2 linked regions of the Saccharomyces cerevisiae S288C genome follow. Changing the gene in region 1 together with any one later gene gives a genetic interaction. Each region holds a gene or a part of one and is shown in the gene's direction. Other genes may lie near its edges. The genes, in order: EMC10 and NTF2.

Evidence for each region.
Region 2: mutations in EMC10 (region 1) and NTF2 together harm fitness more than expected from each alone (negative genetic interaction), as found in Saccharomyces cerevisiae (one large-scale study listed by BioGRID).

Annotation. Positions count from the first base shown.
Region 1 is NC_001136.10:564,187-567,522, reverse strand, and holds EMC10 (Emc10p), read left to right. Parts: upstream 1-1,882; coding exon 1,883-2,500; downstream 2,501-3,336. Other genes in the region: YOS9 (Yos9p), read right to left, coding at 1-1,596; PST1 (Pst1p), read right to left, coding at 2,662-3,336. UniProt on the Saccharomyces cerevisiae protein: Part of the endoplasmic reticulum membrane protein complex (EMC) that enables the energy-independent insertion into endoplasmic reticulum membranes of newly synthesized membrane proteins.
Region 2 is NC_001137.3:170,450-173,328, forward strand, and holds NTF2 (Ran GTPase-binding protein NTF2), read left to right. Parts: upstream 1-1,665; coding exon 1,666-2,043; downstream 2,044-2,879. Other genes in the region: GTP-Rho binding exocyst subunit SEC3, read right to left, coding at 1-1,369; YER010C (bifunctional 4-hydroxy-4-methyl-2-oxoglutarate aldolase/oxaloacetate decarboxylase), read right to left, coding at 2,185-2,879. UniProt on the Saccharomyces cerevisiae protein: Facilitates protein transport into the nucleus. Interacts with various nucleoporins and with Ran-GDP. Could be part of a multicomponent system of cytosolic factors that assemble at the pore complex during nuclear import.

The DNA of each region.
Region 1 (3,336 bases):
TGCTACGTTTGTTACCTCCGATTCAGTATTCCCTGTCGTTTGTGATCCAGCTTCCCCGATGTCTCTGGTTGTATGACTAGTGCTTTCATCATCATCCATCCTTGCGTTGTTTATCTGCTCAACTTTGTTATCATCATTTAATGAGGATTTCAACTTGTTCATCAACGCCAGTTCAAAATCATTATTCGGTTGATTTCTCATGTTTTCAAATATTACTTCCATTTCATGTGGACTTACGATTTCGTTTAATAATTCTTTCACTTCTGCTATCTCCTTAGAAATCCTCAAGAATAGCTCATTATCAGTGTTAATTAAGTATTCATCTGACCGAATTTCTGCGGTATTTATATCTGCTTTGTTTGAGTGGGTTATTTGACCAAGTTCAGTTGACTCGCCATGATCCCCAATTTTGTATGATAGGAAGTTTCCATTATCTTCATTAAATGTAAACGTCTTGTTGAAAAATATCTCTGCTCTCTGTGAATTAAGTATGTTCAACGATAAAGTGGTTTGAAACCGATCTTTCATATCAACCACTTCCGCCAACCAAACACATGAGTCACCAGGCTGGAGAATATGTCCATTAGGTAACGATACTAATCTCAAACTAAGCATTTTGTTTATGGCATTTCCAAATTTCTGGTAATATGTTTCCGTAATCTCATCCCAATTTGACATGGCATTGTCAGTAACCATTAATTTGTCTCTTTCGTCGGTGTTAAAGGGCCTTAGAAAGTATATTCCAGAACCTAAAAAAATCGGTTCATATTTGGTGATTAAATCAATAGAGTTACTACCAATTTTTGATTTTGCGGGCATCCTGCAAAGTATAGGTGAGGCGTTCTTTTGGTCTTCATTTTTGGCTAGTAATTCTAAATTGCACAATTCAGGTATGGTAACTTGGGCTTCATAAACACAAATTTTTGTTTCTCTCACCCATTGAATAGTCGATGGTCCAGAGTTTGAGCCGCCACAGACATATTGTATTTCAACCATTCTTTCAGCCCCCGTCACATCGCAAATATCACCTGACCCTATAATTTCGCTGATGTAATATCCTACATCGTCATAAAGTAGTTCAAATTCTCTCTCTTCTACATTTGCTTTTGGTTTTCCCAGGCGGTAGACCAAAGATTCATCTCGATTTACTATTTCACCAGTTTTTGTATTTACTCTACCATGGAACTGAACAAATTCTATGCCAGGACAGTACTCGTAAATCCAAAATCCGGCTTGGTAGAAGATGCACCGTTCATTTAATTTATCGAAAATTGTCTTAACACCTTGATTCAGGGTTTTAGTTAATAATGCTGTCTTTTCACTATTGCTATGCTCATTTGAGTCTTCCAATACATCATTCAATTGAGTGCTTGCATTTTGAATAAAGCATTCAAGGTCGTCGCCCATATTCACTATATATCCCGAGTTCATGACAGACTGATTTTGTAATATCCTATCACTCCAGTCGTCCTCATCGATGTAAGATATGAGGTACTTATTCGATACTATGGGGTCTTCTATAGGTGCTAATAGTGATGATCCTAACGGAATCAACGCAGAAATTGCGCTCAGAGCATATATAATTTTAGCTTGCATTGAAACAGGGAAGAAAGGGGATGATAACGATATATGTGAAGATCTATTGCTTATTTTAGGGAATCTGCTTCTTTTTTATGAAGCTACATTTTTACTTGAAATTTCCGCTGTATTTTTTTGCATACGTGCGCTGGGTCTCTAACCACTGTATTTGCATTGGTAACTTAAAAACCCAACCAAATATAGGAATAATTAGAAGTATATAAAAGACACTTTGAGTAAAAAAACAAGGTGGTACTATTCAACACTATCTAACAAGAACTGTACAATACTCATTGAAGGAAAGATGCTTGTGCGGCTGTTGCGTGTGATTTTATTGGCCAGCATGGTTTTCTGTGCTGATATTTTACAATTAAGCTATTCAGATGATGCGAAAGACGCTATACCCCTAGGAACATTTGAGATTGATAGTACATCCGATGGGAATGTTACAGTAACAACCGTTAATATACAGGATGTTGAAGTTTCTGGAGAATACTGTTTGAATGCCCAGATTGAAGGTAAGCTGGATATGCCATGTTTTAGCTACATGAAGCTGAGGACACCACTAAAATACGATTTAATTGTGGATGTAGATGAAGATAATGAGGTCAAACAAGTGTCGTTATCATATGACGAGACTAACGATGCTATTACTGCTACAGTCAGATATCCAGAAGCGGGACCTACTGCACCAGTCACCAAATTAAAGAAGAAAACCAAAACTTATGCTGATAAAAAAGCTAGTAAGAATAAGGATGGAAGCACTGCACAATTCGAAGAAGATGAAGAGGTTAAGGAGGTGTCTTGGTTTCAAAAGAACTGGAAAATGTTACTTTTAGGCCTATTGATTTACAATTTTGTTGCGGGCTCAGCAAAGAAGCAACAACAAGGAGGTGCCGGAGCTGATCAAAAGACTGAGTAAATAAAGTATTGTGATTTTTTAAATTTTTAAGTGTCGTTACTTTTATCTCTTTCCCGAAAATATTTGAATACATAAAATTTTTAAATAAATGTTTTTATTTGTTCACATGTCGTGAATGACAGGTACTAGTTATCAAAAATGAAGAATATTTCTTCATTCCATTACATTATAGACATGATGATTGCCGTCAAAAGACCGACCAAAGGGGTTGTTTGGCCAATTGGTGCCATGATAGCGGCATTGCCTTTGGAACTCTTAGAGCTAGAGCTGGAAGCGCCAGAACTAGAAACACTAGAGGCAGAAGCAGCAGCCTTGATATCGCCAGAAGTGAACTTCTTTTCCTCGGCCTTAGAAGATGACTTGGAAACCTTGGCAGTAGTTTGGCTTGATTGAGATTTGGAAGTGGACGATAGTTTAACAGATGTGGATGATGCACCATTTTTGCAGACAAAAGATTCACCCTTGATACCCCCTTTCTTTTGCAAAGCTTTCAAAGCATTACAGGAGAAATTGCTTGACTTTGATTCGACATCTGCGCCACCCTTGACAGACTTCAAAGAGTCTAGGTTCAAGGAGGTGAAGTTACCAACAACTTCCAAAGTACCGCCAATGGTTGTTAGGTTGTCGAGACCACCAATTTTTTGTAAACCAGTGTTGTTAGCAACGACAAGAGCACCACCTATGGTTGACAAATTAGAGAACGACAAGTTCTTCAAGTAGTCATTGGAAACGATACTGAAGGTTTGGCCAATGGTGTTTAGCTTAGTGAAATTCAAACTTGAGATGGAGTTGTTGATGAAACCCAATGAAGAGTTAATCTTTTGCAAGTTAGCGAA
Region 2 (2,879 bases), on another chromosome or scaffold:
TTTTACTTTTTTCTTCCTCCTCCTTTTTAGCAAGCGCTTCTTGCTCTTCTTTTTTTAATCTCTCAGCTGTTTCTTGTTCTCTTTGTTTTCTCTGTATTTCCAATAGTTCTCTCTCTTTTTTTAGGCGTTGCTCTTCTTCGAATTGCCGTTGACGTTTCAACTCCATTTGCTTTTTAGCCTCCAGTTCCATTTGACGTTTTCGTTCCTCTTCTTCGAGTTGTCGTTGGTGTTCCAATTCCATTTGCCTTTTCCTCTCCTCCTGCTTTATTCTTCTTTCCTCTTCTAATCTTTTCATCTCATTTTCCTTTTGTAACTGAAGTCTTTTTTGCTCTTCTAATCGTCTCAGTTCAGCCTCTTCTTGTTGCTGTTGTTGCTCTAACTCGTATCTTTTATTCACTTCATTCAATGTCGAATTGGAAGAATAGGGGGCCTTATTTAGAGATTTCATTCCTGCATGATATTCCACGCTTGCAGGCGTTGACACTGGATTAACGCTTTCTGTTTCAGACCTTCTTGTCCTCTCAGTAGGTGCTGAAAAGGGGACAGAGCCCACCGATTGGGTAGTGTTTGTCGTGAAATTACTTGTAGGTGACTTTATTGGAGATACGGAACCGGGGCGATTTGTGATGACTGCTCTTTGATAACTCCTCTCGTCAAGATAAAAAAGGGATAAATCCCAATTGACCAATTCAGGGACATGACCTTCGAATGTTTGAATGTATAGAGTAATTAGAGATTTAATGAAAACAGTTCTTTCCTTCGCAGAATTCGTTTCCCAGTAGTATTTTTTACTCATGGTAAGAATGAAGCCTTCAGATATCTCCAGGTCCTTCTCTACTCTTACTAGTTCGGTCAACTGCCAAGTTCTACCAATTTGAAAAGAGCCGTCTGAGTTTTCTCTTGCTTTATGAATTTGTATTAGCTTGGCATTGTTGGGCTTGGCACTCAAAATAAGGAGTCTTTTCTTTTTGTTCTCCAATTTTGAATCTGGAGGAGGTCTTGAACTAGGGAATTTTGAATCTTCTATAATCCGGACATGTGTAATATAATTATTCGGCGGTTCACCTGTCTTATGGTCGGGTCTGGAAAAGCAGCAATTAATTATGGCTTTCCTATCCCTTTCATATTGTTCGGCTAAAAAATTCGAAGTTTGAGAGGAATTTGAAGCTCTCGACACGTTTCTCTTATGCGAATAATTTCCACCAGAAACAGGTGGTGCGGAAGAGGGTACTGCACCTTGACTGACGTTTCTAGAATGGTGAGCACTGCTACCGGATATTGTTCTCTTGTGGAAAAACGATGTGTTTTCATCGTGTGATGTCTCACGACTGTGAGACTTCCTTTTAAAAGGAGACTTCGAGGACCTCATAATATAGAATAAATTGCGTAGCCTTGTTACCTAGCTGGAGATATCTGGCACCGACTCAGTCTTTATGACCGCTTTTTCTTCATAAGCTATGATACTGTTATTGCTATAAGTGTTCACCAAGTTAGTATTTGCCCATTAATACCGGGTGACATAGTCCCACAAGCGTGGTTCTCAAAAAGCAACGAAAAATTTTCTGACTTGGCAAGGTGAGACTTAGGCTGATAAGTAAGTACTTTTTAGTTTTTAGTGTACAATACCCCCTAAGGAACCCAGGTTTTAATACTATTATCTTTATAATGTCTCTCGACTTTAACACTTTGGCCCAAAACTTCACCCAGTTTTACTATAATCAATTTGATACCGATAGAAGCCAATTGGGTAACTTGTACAGAAATGAATCTATGCTAACATTCGAGACTAGTCAATTGCAAGGTGCAAAGGACATTGTTGAGAAATTAGTATCTTTGCCATTTCAAAAGGTCCAACATCGTATCACTACTTTGGATGCGCAACCTGCTTCCCCAAATGGCGATGTCTTAGTCATGATCACTGGTGATCTGTTGATTGACGAAGAACAAAATCCACAGCGTTTCTCTCAAGTGTTCCATTTGATTCCTGATGGAAACTCTTACTACGTGTTTAACGATATCTTCCGTTTGAATTACTCTGCTTAAGGATTTTTTAAGTCACCACAGAAACATGTATTTTCATTTTCGAATATTGTTTAGCATAATTGAAGATGCTTAGCTAACGATGTATAAGGCGATAGCGATAAAGAAGATATATATATATATATATGTATGAAGATAGCGTTTTTAAATGTATTTCTTTAATACTGATCTTCGATCATTTTGAGCTTGTTTGGCGGGAATACCATTCTTAATATCTTCAGAGACAAGTAAATCCACTTCAATTGACTTTTCGATATAGGTAACTAATTTTGAAATGTCAGTCTCTTGAACAGGAATGCGTACTATTCCATTATTGTCACCTGCAATATAATCACCAGGACATATTGTTTGGGTTACGCCATCACTCGTTAAGATTTTCAACTGTACGTTAGTGCCTACGGCTTTAACGACAGCCTTTGGAGCGCAAGATCCAACACCGTAAGCAAAAACGGGATGGTTTAAAGTCCGGTGTTCATCCACATCTCTTATGCGTCCAAAGACTACTGTCCCATTCGATTTCAAATATTGTGCTCTGGTACTCATCAGCCCCCCGTACATCGCTTGCGTAATTTTAATAAATGGGTGGAACTGACTTTGCAAATGGGGCTCCAGTGCGAGGACGAGTATTGAGTTGGGAGGGACAGAGTCTATATAGTTCACGGCAGGTCTTGGATCATCAATGGGTGCAAACAGTACTGTGTATGCAGTGCCTACTATGGAGCTATTTTGCGGTGGAGAAATTGCTGTTAGATTAGGGAAATAACCACCCGTTGGAATGTTATAAACATTCAACAATCCGTCCGAAATATCACAGGTTGAGAACCTCTGTAACTTTTGAA